Linked DNA regions of Alligator mississippiensis. The protein of the gene in region 3 purifies or fractionates together with the protein of the main gene of each other region. This does not show direct contact. Links are inferred from orthologs where the notes say so. Each region holds a gene or a part of one and is shown on either strand. Other genes may lie near its edges.

Evidence for each region. Proteins that work in one complex are often made in the same cells at the same time.
Region 1: the proteins of histone H2A (region 3) and PARP1 purify together in Homo sapiens (affinity purification with mass spectrometry; 9 studies listed by BioGRID and IntAct, counting the BioPlex papers as one, with this or other methods). This does not show direct contact. The link is inferred for Alligator mississippiensis from reciprocal best matches to the Homo sapiens genes H2AX and PARP1.
Region 2: the proteins of histone H2A (region 3) and CALR purify together in Homo sapiens (affinity purification with western blotting; 3 studies listed by BioGRID and IntAct, with this or other methods). This does not show direct contact. The link is inferred for Alligator mississippiensis from reciprocal best matches to the Homo sapiens genes H2AX and CALR.
Region 4: the proteins of histone H2A (region 3) and KAT5 purify together in Homo sapiens (affinity purification with western blotting; 3 studies listed by BioGRID and IntAct, with this or other methods). This does not show direct contact. The link is inferred for Alligator mississippiensis from reciprocal best matches to the Homo sapiens genes H2AX and KAT5.

The regions. Positions count from the first base shown.
Region 1 is NC_081824.1:179,588,649-179,595,745, forward strand, and holds the start of PARP1 (poly [ADP-ribose] polymerase 1), read left to right. Parts: upstream 1-4,076; 5' UTR 4,077-4,130; coding exon 4,131-4,250; intron 4,251-7,097. UniProt on the Homo sapiens protein: Poly-ADP-ribosyltransferase that mediates poly-ADP-ribosylation of proteins and plays a key role in DNA repair.
Region 2 is NC_081831.1:22,684,611-22,691,567, forward strand, and holds the start of CALR (calreticulin), read right to left. Parts: upstream 3,022-6,957; 5' UTR 2,947-3,021; coding exon 2,859-2,946; intron 1,240-2,858; coding exon 1,138-1,239; intron 766-1,137; coding exon 562-765; intron 92-561; coding exon 1-91. UniProt on the Homo sapiens protein: Calcium-binding chaperone that promotes folding, oligomeric assembly and quality control in the endoplasmic reticulum (ER) via the calreticulin/calnexin cycle.
Region 3 is NC_081839.1:35,289,204-35,295,881, forward strand, and holds histone H2A, read right to left. Parts: upstream 1,950-6,678; 5' UTR 1,891-1,949; coding exon 1,468-1,890; 3' UTR 515-1,467; downstream 1-514. Other genes in the region: DPAGT1 (UDP-N-acetylglucosamine--dolichyl-phosphate N-acetylglucosaminephosphotransferase), read right to left, coding at 3,833-3,898, 4,666-4,821, 5,179-5,266, 6,325-6,513. UniProt on the Homo sapiens protein: Variant histone H2A which replaces conventional H2A in a subset of nucleosomes. Nucleosomes wrap and compact DNA into chromatin, limiting DNA accessibility to the cellular machineries which require DNA as a template.
Region 4 is NC_081838.1:4,264,798-4,272,267, forward strand, and holds the start of KAT5 (histone acetyltransferase KAT5), read right to left. Parts: upstream 3,022-7,470; 5' UTR 3,003-3,021; coding exon of another isoform or gene 2,964-3,002; 5' UTR 2,938-2,963; intron 1-2,937. Other genes in the region: RELA (transcription factor p65), read left to right, coding at 2,964-3,002, 3,872-4,023, 4,415-4,563, 4,879-4,970, 5,850-5,984, 6,293-6,397, 6,583-6,795, 6,927-7,007. UniProt on the Homo sapiens protein: Catalytic subunit of the NuA4 histone acetyltransferase complex, a multiprotein complex involved in transcriptional activation of select genes principally by acetylation of nucleosomal histones H2A and H4.

The DNA of each region.
Region 1 (7,097 bases), on a different chromosome or scaffold from region 3:
GCCAGCAGGGTCAACACCATGGCCAGCAGGAGCGCAGGGTACTAGTCATTGCTGCCAAGGGCAGGGCTGGAACAGCAGGGTGCTGGGCATCACTGGCAGGGGCAGAGGCTGGAGCAGCTATGGTGCGGGGAGGCAGGATGGGCAAGGAAGGAGCTACCGCATGCTGCTCCTGCACTGGGCACACGGCTCCTGAGTAGAGAAGGGGCTGGCCAGGGATCAGAGGGTGGGGCTGTATTTCCAAGACAGCTTCCAAGTACTGGCAGTTATGGCTGGAACCAGGAGCTCCCCCCACCCTGGTGGTTACCAGGGTACATGGCAGGGCTGGAGGGACTTGGCACTAACTTTAGTGCCAAGTGTCTCCGCATGTAGACACCTGCCAAAAATTGCTTACTGTGCATTAGGTTAATGCATAGTAAATTTAGTCGCAACTAATTACACATGTAGATGTGCCCAAAATGCAGTTAATCTTCAAATGTTAACAAATGAAAGATACGAGTTAGCTATGATCATGGATACTTACTTATCTTCCATGTCTGCCATATATAGAATCTCAGCAAGACCCAACCAGCCTGGCTGTTGGTCAACTGTATTATTGTCACTTAAAGACCTTCCCTAGAATTATAAGACCTATATGTGGACTCATTACAATCTATAGTCTACCTTTAAAAAATTGTATGCCCAGTGTCAACTCCCATTATCTCTGGTCTGTATTTTTTGATACATGCTGGGATAAAGGTGATGATAATTGTTCTGCAGGATTTATATATTTATTGAAAAATCTTTTTTTTGTCTTATTTTCTTAAAGAAGATTCATGTAGCACCACAACACAAGTAATGCATTTAGGTTATGACTCAAATTTATTGTTGCCAGAAGCAGAAAAGATTTCACTTGTTTATGCCAAGAGTACATTTTGGCTTGGTCACTGAGAAATCTATAGCTACTCCATTAAATCCTCACTCACACTGCAGCTGCTACATTTGACCTTAGTCTAAGTGGTGCAGAATTGCATGAATGATTGAACAAATTGGTAACAGATGCCTTCTCTAAATGGGCAGAGGGCACTGGTCCCCTCCAAATTTGTATGTGCTCCTTCCTCTCAGCACTGCATTACCACACAGGAAAGATGCAATGTCTTTTCTTTCCTGTGCAGCTGTTTCATTTCTGCTGCTTGTGGCACCTCTGCTGTCCCCAGAGCTTTCCCTTCTTGTCTGCCTACCCTACCATACCAGTGATGTCTGTAGAATGCTTTTCCCCAGATGTCCTACCTGCTGCTCATCTACAGAACAACCCATGCTCCCAGAGCTGCTGTTTCCTGTCATGCTTTCATCTTCTCCTATTGTGCTACTATTGATGTCCCCAGAGCTTCTGCTCACTAGCACTCCCATCTGCAGCCTCCTGGTCTCCTGATCTTTTCATATGCCCAGCATTTTATCTTCTCTCTGCTGTTCTAGGACGCCACAAATGTCTCTAGGGTTCCTCTGCCTTTCTGTTCTAGCCACCCACAAATGATGCAGGGAAGGCTGAAGTATTCAGTGCCTTCTTTGCTTCAGGCTTCCCAAAAAGGGCTAACTGCAAGATATTAAAATTAAGATTGCAAAGTAAGGCCAGAATAGGGCAAGAACAGGTTAAAGACTGTTTAGATAAGATGCATATATTCATTCAAGTCAGCGGGATCTGATGAGATTCATCCCAAGTACTTAAGGAACTGGCTGATGTAATCTCTGAACCATTGAATCGTCTTTGAGAATTCAGGGAGGATAGCAGAGTGTCTAACTACTTCTGTATTGCACCTGGACACCACCTGAGCTAACATAATAGTCCTGTCATATAAGCATTATTTTGTCAACTCACATCTGCATACAAGTGACTTTTTGTGGTCTTGTGTAGTATTTACTCATATGCTTATACTTCCACATACAGGCCTTGGAGATGGTTTCCCAGCCTTCTAGATCACCCCAGGATGACACACTACCTGGCTGGCATTAGAGGTATCACTAGAATTTTGATGCCCTGGACAAAACTTCTGGGGAGGGTATATGCCCCTTTGCTGGATCTGGAGGAGTAGCCCTGGGCCCCAGCTCTCTCCAGCCATAGGAGCTGGCTGCTTGGCTGTGGGAGTTGGGTCCTGGGACACAGCAGGATCAGCCCTATGTTGCCCAGTCCAGCCTAGATGCTAGACTGGAGCAGACCCACGTTGTTGCAGTCATTTATGACACACTATATCCTGCCTGATATCTGACTCCCCAGCTACCTCTCCACTACTTACCTGCTACTTTCATCTCCCTTCTCCCCTCCCCCCAGCCTGTCTTTCATCCACCGACTTCTCAATTTACATTTTCACTGACTGCCTTTCTTGCATGCAGACCAGCCTCTGGCTTCTTTACTATTTATTCCATCCAGGAAGAGCGCACACACCAACTGCAGACACTTCCTCAGCCTGACAAAGGATTTTTAAACCCAAAAACTTGCTAAGACAAATTTTTCCAACTATTTAAGTTGGTCTAATGAAAGATTCACCCAAAGAACCTTGTCTGGGGGAGAAAGGCATTTTTCTGGGGCCATCTCTATGTCAGCACCTGGGGCTGGTTCCTCCCCACCCACCCCACCCCTTCCAGTTATACAACTGGTTGGGAGAGACTTAGACAAGCTTTCTAATGTAGTGAATTTATCTCCAAATGCCCCACACTGGAAAGTTTGGCTAAGCCTCTGCCAACCGTGCAGCTGGCCCACTAGAGAGAGATTGCTAGCCAAGTTAGGCTAGAGAGGCAGGAGGCAGGGTAGTGCGGCACCTTCACAGACTAACTCAATCAGATGCTCATGGCTTAAGCTTTCTTCAGCAGAGGGCTGAAGCCATCAGACGCTGATGAAGTAAGTTCTGTGCATGAGGCAGCCTCACCTTAAAGCTGACTATGCACCTTGGCTAGGGTTAATCTACAAAGCCATATCCATACGCAGGCCTTCCCATGCTGCTACTTCCTGGGGTCAAAAAACCCATGCCAAAAAAAAGTGGGGTGGCACATGTGACAGTAGTGGAGGCTACCCAAAACCAGAAACTGCTCGGCCAGAGCCACACTCCAGCTGCCAGATGGGTTCCCAGCTGCAGGAGCACTGCGGCTGCAGCTCCCCAGGCCCGCAGGTAAGGCTGCTGAGGCCAGCACAGTTGCTGGCCCCAGCCCCCTTTCCCCAATCTGGGGTCACCTGCTGCACACCAGAGCACATGTGGCACAGGCTTTCCCCAGGGACAAGCAGCAGCAACACAAGGTACACCACTGCTACTTGTCCTGGGGGAAATGCACATTCCCGCTCATATGGCCGCAGCCCAAGGGTGCAAACCTCCTCCGTTTTCAGCCACAGAGAAAGCCATCACCCACAAATAGGGTGGCCATCATAGAGGACGTTCCGGTTTTCTGCTACTCTGTCCTCTATTGATACAAAACGGGATGCCTCTATTTTTCTATTCAAGAGAAGCCTGAAGAGCTTCTCTACCCCAGCCATTTTTCAAGAGAAAAATAAAGGACATAAAGGCATCTGGTTTCATATCAAAAGAGGACAACCAAACTGTCCTCTATGATGGCCACCCTACCACAGAACAGCTGTCACCCTGCCTCTTACATATGTCCTGGACCATCACAGAGTGGTAGAAAATAAGGCTTGGAAGGGAGCTCGGGAAGGCATGGAGTCCAAGACCCAGCTCAGACCAGGCCCAGCCTCAACTAGATCATCCCAGGCAAGGGTTTGTCTACCCGGGTCTTAAACCCTTCCAAGGGTCTTAAACCACTCCTCAGGCTCTCCGGCCTTCAGCACCCTCCTGCTCGGAAAGCTTTCCCTCCTGTCCAGCCCCAGCTCCTCTCCCTGCACCAATCCGGACTACTATCACAAAGTAACGGGCCCCATCCCTCAGGCTGCAGACTGCCCCGCCCTCCTCCAGGACCCTATGGGGGCGGTATAGGCGGCGCACGCCACGCCCCCCGCTCAGCGCGCGGCTCCTCCCCCCCCGCCCCCTCCAATCGAACGCTGCGGCCCGCCGGAACATTCCAAAAAAAGGAAAAAAGGCAGCCTCAATCGATCGCCGAGCGCGGCGCAGGCTCGGCGCTCAGCGGTGGGCGCTGCCGGGGCCGGGCCAGGCGCGATGGCGGAGCCGGCGGACAAGCTGTATCGGGCCGAGTACGCCAAGAGCGGGCGGGCCTCGTGCAAGAAATGCGGGGAGAGCATCGCCAAGGACTCGCTGCGCCTGGCTATCATGGTGCAGGTACAGCGCCGCGTTGCTGCAGCGCTTTGTGCCGGGCCCCTTCCATCCTCGCCGGGGGGGGGGCACGTGGGTGGAGGGCGGCAGCGCCTTCCTCCGCTGCAGGGGAAACGCGGGGGGAGCGACGCTGCAACGTGGGTAATACTCCCCACCCCCCGCGCCATCCGCAAGCGCAGCTGGGGGGGGGGCAGGAATCCGCAGTGCCCCGCCCCCGCCTCGCTGGGCTTCCCGCGCTCGGCTCGGCTCTGACGTCACCGCCGGGGGGCCAGCAGCTGGGACTCCCATTGACGGAGACGCAGCAGCGCCCCCTGCTGGTCGCAGTCTTCGGAGGAAATCCCGTGGCTCGGGTGGGGGAGCATGGGCACACTGGCAGAGCATGCAGGGACACTGCCCCTGGCAGGAGAGGGGGTCACTAAGTGCGTGCCCCAGCCCTGAAAAGTGGGATGGGAGCTCGATAGCAGGTGCTCCAAAGGGGGCACTGAGCAGAGTGTGCTGCCCTAAATGAGTCCAGGCAGCCAGTGGGCACTGCCTGGTGCAACTCTGCCCAGAGCTGTGACCCTGTGACAGGCCTCTTTGATGCCTGAGTCCATTGAAGGCGTGGGCCCAAGCAGGAAGGGTTAGTCCCTTCCCCCATGCAGTTAGGGGTTGTTAAGTGTGCACCAGCTGATTTCTTGGGGAGCTGAAGCAGGGGCAGGCACCAGGGTTAGAGATTGCACGAAATGCTCCAAGGAGGGCACTGAGCAGAGCATGTTGGATGGCACTCACTGGCCCTCAAATGAGTCCAAGGAGCCAGTGGGCTCTGCCCAGTGAAACTCTGCCTGGAGACAGGACTGCAGAGGAGGAGGGACAGGAGGATGGCCCCACATTCACTGGGTGCTTTCCCAGCCGGAGCCTCCCTCCTGGTCAGGTGTATGGCCATCTTGGTGGGGCCATGGAAGGGGAGCGGGGAGAAATGCAGCCAGGGCATCAGCAAGAGGATCTTGAGGTGGTGAAGGGGCTGCAGCCTGGTGTGCTAACTCCCTGACCAGAAGATGTAAATGTTTCTGGGGTTTCTTATGTTCTGTTTACCTCGGTTTGCATCTTGGGGACTTTTGGGTGGAAACAGATGGGGGGAAGCTAGAGACTGAAACTGTTTTTAGTTGAAGTGTGAGCTGAATCCCTATTGCTGAAGAGCTGTACAGGCTTCTTACTTGTATTCCTTAGTTTTCCCCAGTGATTTAATACACTTTTTGGAGCATATTTGTCACTGACTTAATTCTTTCTTGTGACCTTTTGTGGGGGAATTTATTTTTAGCAGCAATTTGAATGTTCTCTTCCTTCCTTTGATCTCTCTTAATTGAAGAATGAATCGCCATCCTAGCAGTTCATTTTCACCCCTTGTTCATTGCCTTGTGGCTGATGAAAAGTTTACCTAGCTTAATCAAAGAGAGAGATCTCTGAGCACGCTTTTGCCACAGGACCTGCCTGCAATTAGTAAATACATCTGTCTCTAAATATAGTCTGCCCACAGTGCAGTGTAATATGGCTGCTCACTAGGGTGAAAGAATAAGAAACACATTGGAAAAATAAATGTTGACCTAAAGCTTCTGGTCTGATTTCCCCCTCTCCCTTCAACATTTCCCACCTTTCTTATCACCAGTGCGAGGGAAGGGAGTGATGGCACTGGTATAGGGACTGGACTTCTGATCTCCTCAAGGAAACCTTTTGGTCCTTTAAAACATTAGTGGCAGCTGATACCTTGTCTGCCATACTGCACCCGCTGTTGTTATTACCAGTGCAAAATTGTAAGCAGAAGAGGCTAAAGCAGCCAAGGTATATGTTTTAGTCCTGGAAATTGTGTGTGTTTGTTTTTCCCCAGACCATACAGCTGAGAGGAATACATGTGACAAAGCTGCTATAATAACTACCATGATTAAATTAGAATATTACGCTGTAGGGAAGTTAGGTTCATCTTTGCTTGTCAGGAACACTTTTTTCCAATCTTCTTGTCCTTCCATGCCTTTTCCTTGGACTCAAGTGCTATCTGTAGACAAGGGCATGACAGCCTTCTGAAATTAATCCAGTGTAAAGTGTACAGTTAAGTTTCTTATTAGAGGATTATTGTGATTTAGAGGACTCTAATAGAACACTAACAGAGAGGCTGTTTTTCTGTTTCTGAAAACAAGGAGTGGAGGGGGAAGAGATAAGGTTATAATGTGCTTGGGAATGTTGCCTGTTCCGCAAGGTAAAAATATTGTATCATTTTGTGCCCAGGCTATAGATAAGGAAGCATCTATGCAGTTTGCTGTTTGCACTTTTAGCAAAACCTTGCTAATCTGCACACTTTATAATTAAGAACTGACCCAAGTCACAGCAAGACGCAGAGTATTTTGGTTCCCACTCACAGAGTGCAGAGCTGATTTCATGGGCATTTCATGGTGGCCCTGCCTCTCACTGCTGATTGGCAGAGGGGCCCTGGCAGTGCCGCACCTCACCGCTGATTGATGGAGAGCGTCTTCACTCAGTCTGTGCCACCAACCCCCCAAAACCTGGTAATTTCCAGGAAATTGCAGCCAATGGCAGATTTCCCGGTGATCATGGACCATGCTGTTTTTAACCATGATTTAGGTAGGTCCTGACAGTGCACACAGATACCAGTATTCTCTAGCATTGCATTATGAAGCATTAATGATGTTCTGCCGTATTTACTAGTGTTAAAATGCAGTTGGGCCTCACAACTTTGAGGTAAGGTGTTACTGCATTTTTACAGACTAGGAAACTGAGGCACTAATAGAGTCAGATGACTTGCCCAAAGTCTTGCAACAAGCCAGCGGCAGAACTGGGAATAGAACTTGCAAGCTGGTTCCCGGC
Region 2 (6,957 bases), on a different chromosome or scaffold from region 3:
CAGCGTATGTCCTTGTTGATGAGCACATTCTTGCCCTTGTAGTTGAAGATCACATGGACTTTCTTGGTCCCAGGCCCACAAATGTCAGGACCTGAGGGACAAGGTGCCATTAGGAAGCATGGTGATGAGGAGGGCACCTGCGGCCAACCCCTTGCAGGAGCTGGGAGAACCTGCTCCAAGGTCATTACATCCAACCACCAAGGGCAGTGAGCTCAGGAAAGACCCACTTGAGCTAGTTCCCCTACAGGCCATTTCTCCCCCTCCCCTCAAACACACTGCTTGGTCCCCTGGGAGACCCCAATGCGCCCTGATCTGCTGGTCCCCTGGCCAGCATGGGAAAGAATTTGCATCTCCCCAAGGGCTCCCTGAAGCCTCATGTAGAGAAGATGCTGCATTCCCCCCTGTGGAGAAGCATGACACCAGCCCCTGGATGAGAAGGAAGGAAAGCCACTCCTAGCACGACCCTGACAACTGAAGCCACAGGAGAGTGGAACACCATGAACCTGGCTGGGCCCAAATGGACTCATGCCTTGCACCAGCTGCCCCTACCCCTCTGCTCACCAAACATGATGTTGTACTCAGAGTCTCCATGCATGTCCTCCTGACTCAGGCTGGCCGGGAAGAGTTTGACATAACCCCCACCACAGTCAATGTTCTGCTCGTGCTTCACTGTGAACTGCACCACCACCGTCTTGCCCCGGTTGCTGAAAGGCTCAAAGCGGGATGAGATGGCATAGAAGCGGGCGTCCTGGCTTGTCTGGATTCCTGCAGGGGAGTGGGGGAGGGTGCAATCAGGACCCCACCAAGGCAGAGCCCCAATGGAGGTGTGAAAGGACTGGCTCTGCCCATCTGCAGTGAGGGATGAGGCCTGCTACCTGGTCCTTAGGTCATGAGGCAGGTACCATGACTACCTGTGGGATCAAAGCTGCCGGGGGGGGGGCGGGGGGGGGGGGGGTGCAGTGACTGCTTCCCTGGAGAGAGTCCACAATGGGATGCAGCCCCACTGGGCAGCATGCAGCAGAGGGGACCCTGCAACTCACCCTAGCTGTGAGAACAGAGCAGAGATGCCAAGGGGTGGGCAAAAAGAGGACCCATAGACTGCCCCCTCCCTTCACCACCAGCAGGAAATGTGCCCACCTTTGTCTTTCTCGCTGTCCCCATAGAACTTGCCAGCCGTCAGCTTGAACTTCCCATAGTCAGATTTGTGCTTTGACTCCACCCAGCGGCTCGTCCAGGTATCTGGGAAGGGGAGATACAAGGTTTGGAGTTGAAACGGTGGGGGAAGGGGGCAGCAAAGAGGGCCTCCCTGCATCTCCGGACACAAGTAGGTTTGTGGTTAAACTGCCAGGTTAAGCTGCTAGGTTAAGCTACTTCCCACTGCAGATGACAAGAATGATGAGAGGAACAGGATACATACCCACCAGGTAAACTGAGGCAGAGGGAAGCTGTGACCTAGGATGGTTACAGTGCCATAGAACTCAGCAGTTCAGAGGCCAATGCCTTGCCCCAGCCACTGGACCCTGCTCCCACCCCTCACAATTGAGTCTCTGCCTTTATCTCAGCAGCGCTTGATGGAGATCCATGGTGATGGAGTCCCCTGCTACACAAATGCAGTCACCTCTGTGGCAATGGATACATAGCAGACACACACTGCCACCAAGTCCAGTCCCTTCTCCACACTGAGGGGAGACCATGTCTAAGCACATCTCCAGAAGGAGACATTTCAGCTGGAGGCCTGGGTCCCATTCTGTAGGTACAAAGTCTGCCATGGTACAGCACCCAGGCCTGCTATACAACCCACCTGGACCCAGGCCCTGCCCCCTCCCACCCAGGGCATGATGGGACAGTCAGGAGCTGCTGTGGCCTGCCCAGGACTACAGCTAGTAGCAGCCCAGCCCAAAACACGGCACTTAAATCTTTGCTGCCCCTTCAGCCTCTTTCCCTCCAGGAAACACTGCCCATCTGCTCCAGAGGATCTGGCTTTTCAGCTGGCCCAGGGCAGCCCCAGCTGCTTTCAACAACACTAAGCCTGACCAGATGCTCAGTGACAGGCACCAATTCCTCTCTGCTCAGGACAACCTGAGGCAGGGGCAAAACCAAAACCCAGTCTACTTCCTGCCCAGCTGCTCAGGGAGCAGAGTGAAAGCAACAGCAGGCTGCCCAGGGCCTGCGAGGAGATGTGTGACTGCTTCCCTCCTGTTCCCCAGAGCCACATGGGTCACTCTGCTGCCACCTAGCCTAGAACACAAAGGACCCCAGAGCCTGCACCACACTGGGGTAAGAGCTCTGCCCAGGGCTGCTTCTTCCCGCTGCCTCAAGTGGCTGGAGTCCATTGTAAGGGACTCTGCTCTGTGGCAGACTCCTCTGGGGGCTGGACTCAGGTAGGCCACTCAGCACAGGTGGGTTTAGAGAGCAGCCTCTCAGCCTGACACAGTAGGCCTTTCCCTGAGCCCTGGGTCAGCTCTTCTCCCTCAGGACGGCCTGGATCAGCTTCCATCGGCCCGGATCAGCCTCCATCGGCCCATCCAGGGTTGTGCCTCTGACAGGCCCAACCAGCTGCTCCATGGGAGCCCCACCACTGCCACCCGAGCTTCCCCAGGCCCAGCCGCACCTCAGGCACCCACCCCATAACCCAGGCATCACAGGGTCAACCCTTCCCCAGAACCCGCTACTCCCTGCCCAACCCCCAGGCAAGTCTCCTGTCCAACGTGCTGGGGGGGCCTCCACCCGCACTCCCTGCTCTTCTTCCATCGCAGCTCCCCCCACCGCCCTCCCAGACCCCAAGGAGAGACATCCCATAGGCGCTCCCCACCCTCCCAGAGGCTCGTCCACCCCTTCAGCCCCTCCCCCGCCCTCACCTCCGTCGGCGAACTCCTCCCGGAAGAACTCCGCAGGCCCCGCCGCCGCCAAGCCCAAGAGGCCGCACAGCACCAAGAACGGGCTCATCTCTGCGGGTCCCTCGCACGGCTCCAGCCCCCTTAAGATACTACAAGCCCTAGAAGTGCCTGGACACTGCAGCAGGCGCGGTAGCAGCGACAGCTTTTATATGGGGGGCCGGTCCGAGCCCCGCCCTGCCGCTGCCTCATTGGCCCGCGGCCCCGCGAGTCGCGCACCCATTGGTCGGCACCCCACAGGGCGACTCCGGAGGCGCCCCCGAACGTTAGCGTCCCAGATGGCCGCTTCCTATTGGCTGCAGCGCCGGGCCAATGAGGAGCAACCACGCGTTCGGTGGAGACACCTCCTCCCACTCTGCCTGATGCGTCACCTTTGCTTGGCAGGTCACATGACTAGCTGGGGCGCCTTAAAGGACCAGCTCAAGGTAGACTGTAGTCTCCACCCCTCACAGTTCACCTGGGGTGGAACAGAGAGAGATGGGAGAAGCCCCCAGCCCATAATAGTCGCAATAAGTCCTACGGGGGAGAGGAAGCAGTGAAATCCCATGTGGATTTCACTCCCCTGGAAACAGGCCTAGAGCTTAATTTTGCCATATGATGATGCTGTGCATCCTGATCTTGTCATAAAAAACGTAGGTTAAACTGGGGGAGAGGAAGGGAATCCCGGGTCTAATTTGTTTTTGGCTGGGGGTGGGGCCTACCTTTAGGAAAGGGGAGGGGTTACCTGGACTCCTGGGTTCTATTCCCTGGTCCTAGAACACCTGTGGTTCTTTACCTGGCTCTCCCACCGACTCTGTTACATGCCTTAAAACTCCAGGTACCTAGGACTAAAACAGATATTAAACAACCCACCCCACTCCCCCCACCAGCCATGGACAGACAGGGACAAGAGCCACAACCATCTCAGGTATTGTGAGTGCCCTTCACCAGCACATGGGATCCAGTGCCGGGCTGCTCACCACTCCCCTTGACAATCTCCTCCTGGCAAAGCCATCCTTAAGGTATGGCAAATTGGGGCAACTGCCCTGGGCCTCGTGCTTTGGGGGGGCCCTGCAGAGCCAAGCAGAGCAGCCGTGACCCCTCCTGCAGGGCCCGCCTGGAATTGGCGGCTCAGCCCAGCACTATGGAAGAAGCATGGAGACCACCCCCTTCCCCCTTTGCGGGGGTACCACAGCTCCATGTGTTAAGGGGGCCCTGCACAGGATGATTTGCCCTGGGCCCCGCACCCCCACTAGGGTTGGCTCTAACCGCTCCCCTGGCACTTCATTCCACCTCAGAGCCCCTGTTCTCTCTTCTCTGAACATTGTGTGCTGCACCCCAGAAACAGCTTCATTTCAGGTGGCAATTCAAATGTTTTCAAAATCCTTATGAATCTTCTAAAGCCTGAAAGAGGCAAGGAAGAGGAAGACTCCTGGTGGTTCACCTTTCTGAACAGCCTGGCAAAGAGAAGCAAACACGAGAGCAGGCCCTTGCCAATGCTGTGGGCCTGGGCCCAGAAGTAACACACGGAAGAGAGATAACAGTCCCAGCAACACTTATGTCTCTTATGTAATCAGCAGCATCTGGCAGGGCACCAGGACACAGACCGTTGAAACCTGGTAAGTGATCCATCTGCCCCTCCCTCCCCCTCCAATAAAATGTAGCACCCATTGGGGTAAAACACAGCAGCTGTTCTTGCTGGGATGGGAGATGTAGCTGGTGTTGGGGGTGGAGTGGGGCAGCTGTTGCGTGGTCAGCAGCGATAAAGTGACAGAGGATTTGGGGAGACCTGGGAATGCAAACACCACCCACCCCATCCATCTCCCCTATAGACCCTTCCAGGCCTCCACAGTGGTGGTGACACCTGTCATCCATCCCACCATGGCTTTGGACTCCTGTCTCTCCATATTCCTCCTCCTTTCCCTCCCTCTCTCCCCTTATGCTTCTCTTTCTGCCACAAACCTGTCCTAGATATACCCCTTCCCTCCAGGAACCCCTCTCTGGCCCTGTCAACAGGACCTATCATTTTGGGCATCTGCCCCAGTACAACCATGTCTACAGTGGACTTTTGGCCTCAAGTGCCACGCCCCCCCCCCACTAACCATGGCATCACCCAGTGACAAATGGTTCTTGCTTTTGCAACCCCCCGGTCAGTTAGTGCAGAGACCAGAGCTCAGTGGGGAAAGGGGCAGGGTGGGTGCGTAGTGATAGGAGGAGGAACGGAAAAAAGGAAGTGGCTGGGGCCTGGGGAAACGGGGGCACATGGGTCCATTCCAGACAGCACTAAAGACACAGTCCCAGATGTGAGAAGCTCTTAGCACATGGGGGCAGGGGGTAGAACTGGGAGGGCTGGGACTCAACCCCTGGGGTATGGCTGGAGTGATGGATCTAGGGATCAGGACTCCTAGGTTCTGGGCCGAGAGCTGGGTGTAATGATGAAAGCAGGGTGGGGGTGGGAGCCAGGATGCCTGGGTTCTGTCCCCAGCTCAGAGAGCACAGGTCTATGCAAGGGTTGCAGTGGTAGAGCAGATCAGATCTATTCCTGTACCCCCAGAGGCATGAGTTCAAGCCTGGCTCCCTTCTCCTATGAAAGCTTCCTGCTTCCCCATTGCTGCAGCCAGCTCCCTTCCCTGCACCCTGGCTCCCAGCTCTAACTCCTTCCACCCCCCGAAACCCAGGGATCCAGAAATGCAGGAACTGGTTTCCACGATTTCATGCATGGAGCTAAGGGAACTGGCAGAGAGGCAGCATGTTCATCTGGGTCCACACCCTGGTGCTAGGATCAATCCCAGGGAATGGTCTGCAGAGTCCAGGAGCTCCTGCCTCTCATTCACCTCACCCTGTTGGACCCCAGGGGTTCAGATCTTGATTTCCACTGCAGGGGGACACATGGGAACAGGCCCCCTGTCCTGCCATAGTGCAGCCATGTGACCCTCTTCTTGATGGGTAGGGGACTGGCCCAGCACTCACACCCCAGCCTCTCATTCTCTCAGTGAGTGTCAGAGGCCTAGTAATTTGTCATCAGGAAGCAGGCCCCCAAACTCACTGAGTCAGGGGATGCTGCCACCAGGAGGCATCTGAGAGGAGTCAGGATCCAGCACCATGGGCTCTGGATTCCCCGGCTTGGGTCCAATTCTGTCTAGAAACAGAACTAGGCCTGTTAGATCCCAGCACTCCTGGGCCGGTGCTGCCCCCAGACCCAGTTATCTGAGTAGGTGACTTTTACCCTGCACCAGGGAGTCCTGGGGTAGCTCTGGACCGGCCCCATTAGCCCCTCATGGGCACCTTCTCAGGCAGCCCCATGGATCTGCCTCCATACAAAGGCAGAGGCCACTGTCTCAAAGGGCTGGGTGCCTTAGGACTGTGGTTTCCACAAGGACACCAGGTTAAGATCCACCCTCACAGAGCTAGGATCCCTCCTGGGGAAGGGCAGGTGGGCTGCCACCCCCTCAGCTGGATCCAGTGGGGCAGGTTTTAGACTCTCACATAGGAACAGTCTCCTCTCTGCTGCCTCTTCTGCCCCTCCTGCTTCATGAGAGGCCCTGCCAAGCCAAAGTGGAGGTCTATCGGCAGGGTGTGGGAACTGTCATAATTCTGCTGCTCTGGCCCTGGCTGGGCTTGTCTGTCCTGTGTAGGTAACACCAGTCTTTAAATGCCCCTGTAACTCATTAACCCATTCGTAAAGCAAGCTGCAGTTAGTCCTGAGGTAGAATTACACCAGCCAGGAGGAAAAAGTCTCTAGTGTGTTGTCACCTGTAATTTATATGGCAGTAAATAAAATGCTGTGCTCTGTGCAACCCAGTGGGGTGTGCAATCTTGGCTATAGCTGCTAGCAGCCATGCGCAACTGTGTGTGCAGGTAATTGTGCACATGTGTAATTGTGCAAGTGCAATTTCATGTGTGTATATGTGCATTTGATCACGTATAAAACCTGCTCGAACACCCACATGCCTCATTTCTTCAAGGATCCCACACCTTGTCTCTACCCCAGCTACCTCTAGGACTGCCTTTAGATGACTCATTCCTAGACGACAAGCTGTTGTGACCTTACAGAAAGTCTTACCACATGCGGCATTTTTAAGCG
Region 3 (6,678 bases):
GCCAGATAGAATCAGTCAGTCAGGAACGGGGCACGTTTATGTTGAAGTTCAACATCAGGAAGTTAGCTTCTAAATTAAAAGTCAGTAGAAAGTTTAGACTTGAGAATACACACAAGTTGAACTTTACTAATCTTTCCAGATTTAGTTGCCAGTTCCTTCTATAAAGACCACAGATGGGACTGTACTTTCCACTGGTGAGTCTGCATCTGCTCCAGAACGCACCAGTGCCTTCTAGAAACATTTACATTGCATTGTACAGGAATCCTGCTCTGCAAGTGAAAGTTAATTGTTTACATCTGTGCAATATCCACTGAATGTAACAACCACTGAATAGCCTAAAAAAGTTCTAATTTATGTTCATTTAAGATGCCTTTCCTCAGAAGGAGGGTTGACATTTACACTGTTTCTAGCCAAGTGGTAGGTCCAAATAAACCCTTCACATGATGAATGCTTTCTGTCTGGAAACTGCTTGAGCTATGTGCAAATCAGAAAACAAACTACAAGGACAACTAAAGCATATACAAAATGGGAGTTTAATCAACCAGTAGGGCAAGCCTCTATATACAAAGAACACACTCTGTACTGTTTTCAGGTAACAGAAGAATATAAGAAGAAGCTTGGAATGGTGATAAGTGCTATACAAATTAAGGGAGAAGCTGAATGTGAGGCTTATCCTGGATTCTCTTTAGAGCAGAACAAGTTTGACTTCCTTGCCTAAATCCAATCAATAGAAACAGATAAGCCCAGGAAATCCTGTAAGATGATCCTTATTACACTGAAAACTGCTATATGAGTGGCTTTGTTTTTTTAGCAGGCTGCTTCTTCACTGTACGCTGTTAGAGAAGAGAATATCTGACATCTGCCACGTGCAGAGGTGAAGCCTGGAGTTTGGCTGCAGTCAGTCTAATGGGGGCTGTTCTGCCAATGGAGCCTGTAGCCATACCTAGAATTTGCTCCGGCTGGGGGACGCGGGAACAGTGAGGCTCCTGGGTACCGCATCTTTGTCATAGAGGACAAATGTTGCTCACTGCAGAAATTGAGCTAGGCTTAGAGATGTTTTCCAGCTGGCCACTCAAGACAAAGGCTCCTGGGGGGTGTGAGCTTTCTTCTTGGCAACATGAACAGACAAAGGAAAGCAAGTTGTGGGCGTTTTTCACGGCAGTCGCGGCCCCGACCCCGAGCCGACAGCACCCCGTGGTCCGGGCGCTCAGTGCTGGCCTGTGGCCGCGGGCAGAGCGATTCCTTTCCGCCCTCCCGCCGCCTGGGGCGGTCGCAAGCGGCTGCAGCGCGGCCCCGAAACCTGCTTTGAGCAAAGCTTTTGCGCCAAGCTCCGGCGACGTTACCACGCGTCGCGGCCCCGCCGAACCGCGCGTAACGGGGCAGGTCCCCCCGCGGATCCGCAGCTCTTTCTCCGGCCGGGTGGGTGGCCCTGAAAAGGGCCGTTGTGGGGGGTGAGGAGCGGGAGCGCTAGTACTCCTGCGACTGCTGGGCGCCGCTCTTCTTGCCGGCCTTGGCCGGGCCGCCGCCCGCCTTCTTGGGCAGCAGCACGGCCTGGATGTTGGGCAGCACGCCGCCCTGCGCGATGGTGACGCCGCCCAGCAGCTTGTTGAGCTCCTCGTCGTTGCGCACGGCCAGCTGCAGGTGCCGCGGGATGATGCGCGTCTTCTTGTTGTCGCGCGCCGCGTTGCCCGCCAGCTCCAGGATTTCTGCCGTCAGGTACTCCAGCACGGCCGCCAGGTAGACGGGCGCGCCGGCGCCCACGCGCTCCGCGTAGTGCCCGCGCCGCAGCAGGCGGTGCACGCGGCCCACGGGGAATTGCAGCCCCGCGCGCGACGAGCGCGACTTGGCTTTGGCGCGGGCCTTGCCGCCGCTCTTGCCGCGGCCGGACATGGCGCCTGCGGGCGTCACCGAGCCAGGCTCCGGCGCAGACTGGGTCCAGCTGCGCTGCGCGCTCCCTTGTAGACTCCGCTCCGCCGCCGCTCTCGCCCCATTGGCCGACGCGGCCGCCCGCGCTGCGATTGGCCGCGCAGAATGGGCGCGCTGGCTTATTGGGCACCGTTGAGATCCGGCCGGGCTCTCATTGGCTGCTTCTGTGAGCCAATGGCAAAGCAGGGCGCCAAATTCAAACCGCGAAGAGCGCACGGCCATTTCCGCTTTAGCGGCCGGCGCGGCAAGCCCCTCCTCTCCCCGCCCCGCGGCCGCCTCAGGGTGAGTGTCTGGCGCGGCCCCGCGCGGGGCGGCTCCCCCCGCGAGCCGGCTCGGAGCCCGCGGCGTTGGGGCCTGGTTTGGGTGCACGAAGCGCCGCCCCTGCTCCTTCGGGGCCCGGTGCCTGGCGCTCCCGCCCGCTCGAGCAGGCAGGGCTCCTTGCTGGAGCTGCGCTTCTCCAGCAGGAGGGCCCCCGAGCACCCCGGGTAGTTCTGCCCTCCCCTCCCCTCGGGGAACCGTTTCTCGCCAACGCTGTGCTCGTGCTTTGGGCAGGGCAGCGGACCCTGCCCGGCTCAGGAGCGGTTGATAGCCCGTGTCCTATAGCCCGCATTAGCTCGAGTATCCAGGAGCCTCGGCTGGCCCAGGGCTCAGCGGGCGCACGCTGTGGTGACACTGCCCAGCCCCCGGGAGACGCACGGCTTATGCACAACACGGGAAAGGAGGCCGTGAAAGCTGGGGGAAAAGTCCCCCGAGATTTATTTTCATTTTAAACGGACCGTGGTAGCCTGAGGCTATAATCACTCCTTATAATTCAGTTCAAGTCATAAGGACAGTACAACAGGGATGTTAACACTGGTGTCCTAAATAAAGTCCGATTGAGTGAGTCGGTTCCCGTACAGTTTTATTTCACTTCAGTTGTTCTAATGCTTTGTCATTTGAATGACATTATTTTCCCTGTATAAATAATAACTGTAAAGCACCGTCGTGCTGAAAAAAGTGCAATGTGAAAATGAATTATTTGAACGAAGGGAAAACCATTAGGACCAGGGGGTCTGATGGCTGCTAATGCACAAATAGGCGGAAGGTGTTTTTTGTTTTTATAATTGATGAGACATGTGAAAGTGTGGGTATTTTGGTGCTAGAGGTGCCATGGGTCATAGAGCAATGTAGGTTAGGGAAACTGCATGACCCTTCAGCAGGAAAAAATGTCAGCAACAATGAAAAGTGGGAGAACAGATGCTGCAATAGAAATGACCATTCTCTATAAGAGGGTGTCATAGCAATGTATAATTGATATCGTTTAATTGTGTTTCAACATTTTATCCCTGTGGCAGAGAGGAATGGGAAGCTATTCTGTAGTCAGATTACACGACCTGAATATCTTGTTTCTGAGTTGTAGATAGGCTGAAAAGTGGATTATTCCGTATCTGTGGCAGAAAGATGAAACTGGAGAGGACTGTCCGGTATGTAGAGTTCAGAAGAGATTGCAGGCATTGTTGCAGGTTTATCCTTTGCATATTTCAGGCAAAACAATGTATTTCACAAGATGAAAGGAACTATGGCTGATCCTCCTCTACCTCTACCCCATCATCTTGGCCAGAAGACTCAGATCATACTTATGTCTTTGCACATGCAGGTTAGTCCCACTCATTAGGAGGTCTAGGAAGTAATGATGCTTATATAACTTTAACAGCAGAATCTGTCAAATTCCTGCTGTTTCCAACCAAGGAGGAAACAAACAAACAAAAAAAATTAGATTTGTGTCCCAGAGTCTTTCCTAGCATCTGGAAGGCAGTCCTGAGATGTCCAGGGCCAACACAGGACCATTTCAGCCATCTGGATCAGAACCAGAGAAAATAAGGGACTGATTAAGAGGAGCTGGCACTTCCCTTTCTCCTGACATCTGTCAGACATCGTAGAATAAGCGCACTAGCTGGTATCTGATCAGAAATGCAATTGTGCTTCCCAGAACCTAGAAAGAAGAAAAAAAAATTGCAATGGTGAGTTGACTGCCACTTGGACAGTGCCTAGCCCTCTGGAAAGCATTTGGGACTTAAGCACGTGGTCTGCCTAAGCGAGACAACTTAATTAGAAATGGTGCTATTTGTATGTGTGTGGAGGGGGGCATGATGGGTGATGAGAGTTCCTTGCAGTGCTCTTTAGAGAGGATCTTTGTAATGGAGTCACAGAGGGGAGAGGATAGCCTGTGTGCATACATACAGAGTTGGAATAGGCAACAGAGATGCTTGTCAGGTCTTTACCATTTCATGCAGAGGTGGGGAGCAACCCAGGAAGTAGAGGAATGGAAAGGGAGACATGAGACATAAGACAAAGCTAGGGGGAATTCAAATGTCCCTTAAACCAGAATATTCTGCTTTGAATGTGCTATCTATTAGAATAGGGCAGTCCAACTTCTGGACCCTGGGGGCACCACAGATCCCTATGGGCTGCATGCAGCATGGGCAGCTCAGCTCCTCTCCCTCCAGCCGCACAGGCAGCCCAGGCCATTCTACACAGCTCTCTCTGCCCAGCCCCCGGGAGTGAAGGCAAGACACAAGCTGGAGGGGAAAGAGGGAGAGCTCAGAGATCCTGACCATAGCAGCAGGAGTGATTTGGGGGGTTGGGAGAGGATGGGGGACAGCAGGGGGAAGAGAAGCCTGCATGCAACCTGTGGGACATCAGTTGGACAGCCCTGTATTAGGGAGCAGGCTTTTCTATCCAAAAGACCATTTGCCTGACCTGGATGAGTAGCAGCAGGATGGTGAGTGTTTGCTCTGGGGTTGGTCCAATGAGCTTTATAACAAAGTTAATGATAGTCATGTTGTTGCATTCTGTGTATTCTCCATCTTCATCCACTCCCCGTCTTACATCTACAATGCGCAAGCTCTCTGATACCTGGGAAAGAAATTTAACCACCACTTAACTGGATGAAATAGATATTTGCTAGTTAGGGTCTGGTAGGGATGTGATAAAAATTTCTTCCATACATCCTAGTCAGTGATCTCTTCTACTGTTCCAGTCCTGGGGTTTGATTCAAGGGAACAGATCTAGGGACAGGTTTAAATCAGGCCTTATGCAGCTAAGCTTCATTTTGGAGGGATTCTAATAAATGTGAGCATCAAGCATTGGGGTCAGACTACAAGAGGCCTGTTTTGGTTTGGTTTTTTTTACTAAAGTTCTATGTTGTTCGGAGGAAATGACTCAGGCTAAACAAAGGTATTATCCTTCTTCAGATCACAGCGGCTGACTGACCTTCAGAATGCATGCTCCCAGGGTTGAGAGACTCTTGGTTTTAAATTTGAAGTAGCTCATTTCCAGTTTCCCTGTAGCAGGATTTAACCTGAAAGGAACAGCAAAATGCACTTCAATCATACCAAAAGAGACAACTGAATCCCTGCATAAAGCAGAGATAGGAGTGGTCTAAAAGGAGGTGGTGCCGAAAGTGGGAGTAATTCTATGAATGTGACAGTCCTGACAGTGCAGCAGCCCGAGCCCATCACATGGGGCAGAAATGGGAGAAACCTTTTTGTTACTACTTTACAGAAGCTTGTATGGATCAAAAAGCAAGGTAGAACATGCATGGTGTAGGTAGGGACTATCTATGCTGCAAAAACTGCCAGAAGACTGCATTAGAACAGCCTCTCAGCTAAGCAGCCACAGTTCAACCTCACCCATGTGGTTGGGAAAATAAAAATGTGAACTAGTTAGCAACTCGAGTTACAGCTCCAGCTTTGCAGGACTGTAAAATTATTTCTTAATGAGGCTAGAAAGAAACCCACATGCCATGACTCAACCGTATTAGGCGAGAGCTGTATTTAATTCAACTTGATAGGTAACCTAAGCTTTTTGATGGTATAAAATTGGAGTACAGTTCTGCTAGCGTTCATCAGGGCACTAGTTTGTACCCTCTGAGAATCAGGTAGCTATACATTGAGCAATTTGGGCTTTTATGCTAGGCATTCAGCTGGAGAGTTGTTTGCCAGACTGCTTTGACAGGGCAGCAACTTGTTCCTTGACATTCAACTTTTTGCCATACAAAAAGGTGTTTTCATTTTTTCAAAATTAAAGTGTGAACGTTGCAGAAAACAGCAACCATAAAATCACAAGATTTATTCAATTTATGGCTATGCTGTTCCCGACCACAAGGAAAGGTAGTAATTACCAAATAAAATTCTCCACAGCTCTGGTATCTTTCTCAATCCTAGTTGGTGAATAAGGGCTACATCTCCATTTTCACTCCCTCCCCCAACCACAGACTACATTATGTCCATTAATACCCTCCAAAGATTCCACCGAGACTATTCCACCTGCGTCAGCCCTAGCACCAAGCCAGAACCAAACTGCCTCACAGGTACTGTCACATTACTTCTTACTCTCAGTCACTTACATGCTTCTTACCTGGGCAGCCGATGTCGGGGGCAAGGAATGATGTGAAACAGCTGAGGTAGTGAATACAGGAAGTTGAGCACTTGTGGGAGGAAGAAGAGCAGCATTGTCTTGCTGAAGTGCCCAAGGATCCCTACCACAGCAAAGGTCATTCCAGCAAAATAGCAGAATGTGTCCCCCACAAAAACACGGGACGGGTACCTGCAAGCCACAAAGAAAGTGTGAGGATGGGGTGCAGCATGAGATAAAAATCAATGACAGACAAAGATGATGTTCCCAGTCACGTGGGGGATTTCAAATATGATATGTATATGTTAGACAGATTTTAGTAGGCAGGGGACTTGTTCTAATGAGAAACCTTTCTCC
Region 4 (7,470 bases), on a different chromosome or scaffold from region 3:
TCACTGGGACAGGGAGAAGTAGAGACTGAGACCTAGACCTAAATCTGGGTATCAGGTATAGACAGGTATAAAGCTAGATAAATATAGGTGTAGATAGAGAGATGCAGGTACAGACCAGTGTAAAGATACCTAAATATGGATGGATATAAAGAGAGAGAAATAAAAGTAGGTGTAGATAGCTAGATATAGGTATAGAGAAATATAATGATAGCTAAAAAGAGATAAATATAGCTAGATACAGGTATACCTGGATATAAAGATAGATAAGTAGCGATAGAGATATATCTATCTATACCTGTACTGATCTAGATAAATAGGAACGGGTATAGATATGTAGATATAGACATAGAAAGATAGCTATATAGAAATAGCTGTATAGAGAAAGATCCAGGTGTAGACAGATATAAAGCTAGCTATATCAAGATAGCTACAGGTAGGTAGGTACAGGTATAGACGGATATACAGATAGATATAGGTATGGATATGAAGAAAAACAGAGATAGGTATAGGCAGATGTGGACAGATACAAGTGTAGACAAAAAAATAGAGGTCAGTATATTTTGATACAGGTATTGACATATATAGAGGTAGCTATAGAGAGGTAGGTATAGGTACAGGTATTTGCAGATGTAAAGATAGATGGATGTGCATGTAGGTAGATGAAGGTGAGCACAGGTGTAAAGACAAATAGAGATAGAAAACTGCGGGTGAGTATGAAGGTGGATAACGAGAGCTGCAGGTAGATGGAGGAACAGACGGGGAGAAGAGTAAATAGAGAGAGATGTAAAAATAGATGTAGATGGATATAAAGATGGAGAAGTATCTCTTTTGGGGGGGGGGTGTCTGTACACACTGTGGTGAGTCTCTAAAGGTGCATCTCTGCCCTGACTTGAGGCTGAGTTGAGACTAACATGGCAACTGCCTGTCTACTCACGTATGTCATAGCGGGGTGCGTGTGGGGTGCCTGGGTTCTGTGCGTGTGTAATACAGGGACACTGATTTCTGCGCATGTACACACAATACGGGGATATGTGTCTGCCTATACACAGGGTGCAGGGTGGGTGTGGGTGTGTCCCAGACACCAGGTTTCTCAGAGAGAAGGAGGATGACCTGGATACTTGGGGGGGGGGGGTGTGTGTGTGTGTGTGTGTGTGTGTGTGTGTGTGTGTGTGAGTGTGAGAGACATCTTGGCAGGGGCTGTGTCTCAGACACTAGAGGGTGGGGGGCAGGCAGTGTCCTAGATGGCTGCATATTTTGTGTGTGTGTGTGTGTGTGTGTAATACAGAGAAACACATGCATGGGCAGCCATTGTGTGTGTATCTGTACATTATATAGGGACAGGTGTGCAAGGGCACCCATTGCATGTACCAGCATCTATGCTCTATATAGGGAGGTGTGGCCCTGCATGAGATCCACACACACGTGTGTGCTCAGGGACACCCCTAATGTGCAGGCATACGTGCTATCTGGGGCTGTGTGTGTGCGTGTCCATGATGGGACACACATCACGTGTGCGGGGCTGCGTGTGTGTGTTTGTGCCACAGCAACCCGCGTTTGCAGGGACACCCACCATGTGTGTATAGGGCCACAGATCCTGTGCAGGGACATGTGTGTGTGAGAGGCCCTGTGCCTGTTTGTGTGCAGGTGAGGTGGGGGGCACCTGCTGCGTGTTGTGTGACACGGGGACGCGTGTGTCTGCCTGTACGAGCCTGGGGGGTTGTTCAGCTCCTGGCTCAGTGTGGGCCCTCTGTGTCCGTCCGTCCCCACCCCCCGGGCTGAGCTGCTCGATTCAAGCCAAAAACAATGACGTCAGGGGGAAAGAATCCCAGCCTCGGGCCCCCCCGTCCTGGCCGGATCCTGCGGGGGCGGAGGCTTAATGAGCTGTCCCTGCCCCCCTCCAGCCCTGTCGCTGCCCCTCACTCCCGACCTGCAGCCCCCAGCCCACCCCCAGCCTGGTCGGTGCCCCTCACTCCCAACCTGCAGCCCCCAGCCCACCCCCAGCCTGGTCGCTGCTCCTCACTCCTGACCTGCAGCCCCCAGCCCACCCCCAGCCTGGTCGGTGCCCCTCACTCCCGACCTGCAGCCCCCAGCCCACCCCCAGCCTGGTCGGTGCCCCTCACTCCCGACCTGCAGCCCCCAGCCCACCCCCAGCCTGGTCGGTGCCCCTCACTCCCGACCTGCAGCCCCCAGCTCTGCCGGTGCCCCTCACTCCCGACCCCACAGCCCCCTGCTCCCCTCCAGCCCTGCCAGTGGCCCCCCCATTCCTCACCCCGCAGCCCCTGCCTCCCCCTCGGTCCTCTTGGTGCCCCACACTCCTGACCCGCGGCCCCCAGCCCTGCGGTGCAGGTGCTGTCCCATGTGAGTTACGGGAAGGAGCCGCAGGGAAGGGAGAGGGATTTTCCCTGCCTGGAAGGGGATTTTGGACTCCCTGGCGAGGCCCCAGCTCCACCCCTCAGGCTGGCTGCCCCCTCCCCCCCACCTCCTGGCAGAGGTGCCTACAGCCTGGCAAGGGAACCAGGTGTCTGAGGCAGCTGCCTTCCCCTGCCCCTCACGAAAGAGCCCGGTGGGGTGAGTGGCTCACCCCAGAGCCAGTCACATTCAGCGCCAGGCAAGGGGCACTAGGGGCTGGGGAGAGAGGGCCCCTGGCTGAGATGCAGCCGCCTCTGGGGTGGGGCATGTGAGTGGCTGAGTAGAACATAGATGCGGCTCTTCTGGGGGGCGGCCTAGGAGATACAGGGTTGACATGCGGCTGGTTCTGGGGTGGGGTGTGTCAGCAGCCGAGTGGCCCACTCTGGGGGTGGTGGTGCTGGGGAGACGGGGCCGCACCCCAGAGCCAGCCATGTCTCACCCGTGTGGGGCTGCACACGGAGGGGAGTGGGTTCCCTACATGGACACAGGTGGGGCGGGGACCCCCCCAGCAACCCCCAGGTCACTAACCTCCTCTTGCCTTTGTCTCCTTCCAGATCTGCTGCCTCTTCTCCTCCAGCCGGACTGGCACATGGGTAAGTCCATTGACAGAGAGCAGTCCGAGGGCAAAGAGCAGGAGAGAACCCAGACGTCTGGGCTCCCAGCCATCCCCGCTCCCCCCACATGGGCCGTGGAGCCACGTGAGGGGAATGGACTTGGACCTCCCCCACCTGGAGCCATCTCCATCTGTTCTACTCAGCCACCAACGCCCCCCACCCCAGAGCTGGCTGCATCTATTCTACTCAGCTAGGGGGGGTGGCCCCTCCAGAGCCAGCCGCGGCAGAGACCTGGATCCCCAGCCCCGATGCCCCCCCAGACCTGGCTGCCACTGCTCCAGGGCTGTGGCTCTCCCAGGGTTTCCCCAGGTGACTTGCAGCCCAGAGTCTGGCTCAGAGGCTGCTGGGATTAGCCTGGTCCAGGGGCACTCGGGCTAGGCAGTCTCTTCCCTCTGGGCACCCTAGGTCTTATGCTGGGGGTGCCAGGGGCTGCTCCTATCACCCTTGGGCCAGCCCCTGAAGCCAGGAATTCCCAAGGCAGGAGCCATCGTCCTGGTTAGTCTGTGCTGCAGCTGGCTCTGGGGCAGGCTCTGTTGGCAGCTGAGTAGAACAGATGCAGCCAGCTCTGGGGTGGGTCACAAGCTGGGGGTACGAAGCCGGGCACTGGGGTGCGGCCAGCTCTGGGGCGGAGGGTGTCAGCGGCTGAGTAGAAAAGGACATGGCTGCTTCTGGGGTGGGCCCAGGAGACATGAGGCTAAAATGCGGCTGTCTCTGGGGTGGGACGTGCCAGCAGCCAAGATGAACAGAGGCTGCAGTATTGGGGCTGCGGGGTGGCCAGGGCTGGGATGGGGTCCCCAGCCTGGGGGTGAGGCCAGGCCCCCCCGTGACAGCCCGGGTGTGTCCCACAGAGCCGGTGCCGAGCTCGACGCCCTTCGTAGAAATCATCGAGCAGCCCAAGCAGCGCGGGATGCGCTTCCGCTACAAGTGTGAGGGGCGTTCGGCCGGCAGCATCCCTGGGGAGCGCAGCACCGACGCCACCAAGACCCACCCCACCATCAAGGTAGGCCCTGGCCCCGCCCCCACCCCGCACCATGGCCCCGCCCCCAGGAACACAAGTGCAGCATCGAGGCCCACCTCCCTATGGGGCAGGGCCTGGCTCCACCCCCAAACCTGAGCCCCACCCCCTGCAGCATCACCGAGGCCCACCCCCCATCAAGGTAGGCCCTGCCCCAGGCCTTAGCCGTACCCCCACGCCACAGACACTAGGGAGCCCTCATCGTCCCAGACGAGCTCGTCCAGCTTGGGCCGTTGACTCTGGAACCTACTGATGGCCGGACCCGAGTGAAACCCCCTCCGTCCACATCCCTTATCCCAGCCTGAGATGATGGGAGTGGGACTGAGTGCCCAGACCCCTGGGTTCTCTCCTGCCAATGGCTGCCCCTCCCCTGCAGATCAATAACTACACGGGCCCGGGGAAGATCCGCATCTCACTGGTGACCAAGGACGCCCCATACCGGCCGCACCCCCACGAGCTGGTGGGCAAGGACTGCAAGGACGGCTACTATGAGGCTGAGCTGGCCCCTGAGCGCAACATCCACAGGTCTGCCCGGACGCCCGGGTTCTCTGCCCAGCTCTGGGAGGGGAGTGGGGGCTGGGGGGGCAGCCCGGACGCCTGGTTCTCTGGGAAGAAAGTCCAGTAATGGTGCTTGAGCAAGTGGGAGTTGGCAGCTCCGTCTCCTGGGTTCTTTTCTGGCTGCTGATTTTTTGGTGAGGCTTTGGGGAAACTGAGGCAGGTGAGGGTCTTGGGTCTCCTGGGAAAATTCGGAGGTGAAACCCCAGCATCTGGCCCTGCCCTAGGGCCCCCTGGCGGGGGGGAGGGTGACGGCGACACAGTAACCCCCTCCCTGCCCTGCAGCTTCCAGAACCTGGGCATCCAGTGCGTGAAGAAACGGGAACTGGAAGAGGCTGTGGCCCAGCGCATCCGCACCAACAACAACCCCTTCAATGGTGAGTGGGGGAGCACTGGGCATGCATGGGGGTGCTTCGGAGCCTGTGTCCTGACCCTGGAACTTGTGGGAGCAAAGGTTTGAGCCTGGGCACTGCCCCTTTAATTTGAACGGGTTAGAACAGAGGTTCTACCTACCCCTTTAACTGGAAGGAAGCTTTGAGCTTTACTTGGGGGTGGAGATAGAGCCCAGGCCCCACCCCTTTTACTGCAGAGTGGGGGGGCTCCCCGGGGGTGGGATCTGTCCCTGGTGGCCTGTTGATGTGCATGGGGGGCTGTCTCATCCATGTGTCCTTGCCCCTCTACAGCGCTAATGAGCAGGAATCCTGGTTTTCTCTGTTTAAAAATGGCAGATTCTCTGATTAACACCCCCCACCCCCAAATCTGTGATTAAAATGGAAGTCCCCTGCGTGTGCAGGTGTCAGTGGGACGCAGGGTTTTATTGTAGGGGGTGGGGCCGGCCCCCCACCGTAGCGCACGCTGCCGGAGGAGGCATGGGGGCAGCTGCGCGTTCAGGCTCCCCGGCCTGCTGCCCTCCCCCCTGGGCACGGCAGGGCAGAGCGGGGCTGGGAAGCTCAGCGCTGCTGCGGCAAGGTGCCCTCTGCTCTGCCCCCTGCTGCTGCTGGGGGGCAGGGGGTGCCTTGCCATGGCGGTGCGGGGCTCCCAGCAGCAGCAGACCGAGCTCGCCCGCCCCACTCTGCCCTGCCCTGGCTGCCAGGTGCTGGGGGGCACAGCAGGGCAGGGAGCCCCCACCCTGCGCACAAAAGTGGGATAACCAGGATCCCTGCTGATGAGTCTGCCCATGGTGGGGGGGGCCTAACTGAGAGGCGGGGCCTATCCACAGAGGGCAGGGCCTCACCCATGTGTCCTTGCCCCCACAGTGTCACTGGAGGAGAAGGGCGAGTACGACCTGAACGCCGTGCGCCTCTGCTTCCAGGTGTGGGTGCAGGATCCAGCCGGCACTGGGCACCTCATGCTCTTGCCCCTCGTTGTCTCCCAGCCTATCTACGACAACCGTGAGCCTGGGGGGCGGGGCTAGGAGGCCTGGGGGTGGGGCTGGAGCTGGTGGGGGAGGAACTAGAGTTAGTTGGGACAGAGATGGATGGGGTGGTCTGAGACCCAGGGGGTGGGGCTTGGGGCAGGAGTGGGCATGGCTAGAAGGTTAGGGTGGGGCTAAATAGGATGGGGGTGGGCTGGTGTAGGTGTTGGGGCAGGGGAGGAGGGTAGGCTTTCCTGGGCTGGGGCTATTGGGCCAGAGGGTGGGGCTACTGGACCAGGGGGTGGGGCTAGAGCTGGGGGGTCCTGACCTGTGCCCCGCCCCCAGGGGCCCCCAACACGGCGGAGTTGAAGATCTGCCGGGTGAATCGTAACTCGGGGAGCTGCCGGGGGGGCGAGGAGATCTTCCTGCTCTGCGACAAGGTGCAGAAGGGTGAGTCACCCCGGACGCCTGGACTCCCCCCGGTGTGGGGAGGGGAGTGGGCTGAGCAGGCACAGTGCGCCGGGTCCCCTGGGTTCTCTGGAGGGGGACGGAGGCCTGGGGCTGAGAGGGGAGTGGGGATGAAGCAGGGGCTCTGTGAGCCTGGGGGTTCCCGCCCTCACTCCTTCCCCCTCCAGAGGACATCGAGGTGCGGTTCTTCCGGGATACGTGGGAGGCGCGTGGCTCCTTCTCGCAGGCCGACGTGCACCGCCAGGTCGCCATCGTGTTCAAGACACCGCCCTACGCCGACCAGGCGCTGCGCGAGCCTGTCACGGTGCACATGCAGCTGCGGCGCCCGTCCGACCGCGAGGTCAGCGAGCCCATGGAGTTCCGCTACCTGCCCGAGGAAGGTACCGTGGGGCAAGGGGGCGTTACGTGGAGAGCCCAGAGCTGGCTGCACCGGGGGGCCTATGCTCCGGGCCCGATCCTGGCCTGGGGTGTCTGCTCTGGGGTGGCCCCCTAAACGCCCTCCCCGCCCCAGGTGACTTCCACTGCATCGAGGAGAAGCGGAAGCGAACCCGCGACACCTTCAAGAGTTTTGTGCAGAAGACCCCCTTTGCAGGTGGGTGGGGTTGGGGAAAGGGGAGGGGCTTCTCCCTGGAGCAGGCTGTAGAAAGGGGAGGAGTCCGGGTGGGGGGCTTCTGCCTGGGGGTGGGGCTGGGGGGGGAGGGGAGTGGCACTTGGTTGGGGGCAGGGCTTGGGAAAGGGGAGGTGCTCATGGCTGGGGGTGGGGCTTGGGAAATGGGAGGAACTCCTGGCTAGAGGCAGGGCTTGGGGAAAGGGAAGGGGCTCCTTGCCAGGGGCTGGGTCTAGGGGAAGGGGTGGAGTCCCTAGGGGCTGGGTTTAGGGAAAGGGGAGGGACTCCTGGATGAGGGGGTGGGGCTGAGGAAAGGGGTGGAGTCCCTGAGGGTGGGGCACTTGGCTGGGGTGGGGCTTAGGTGGGGGGGTAGCTGAATGCCAGGGCTGGGGGTCTGAAGGGGAGGAGCTTAGGGAGAGGGGTCATTGGAGGAGTGGCCTACAGGGTT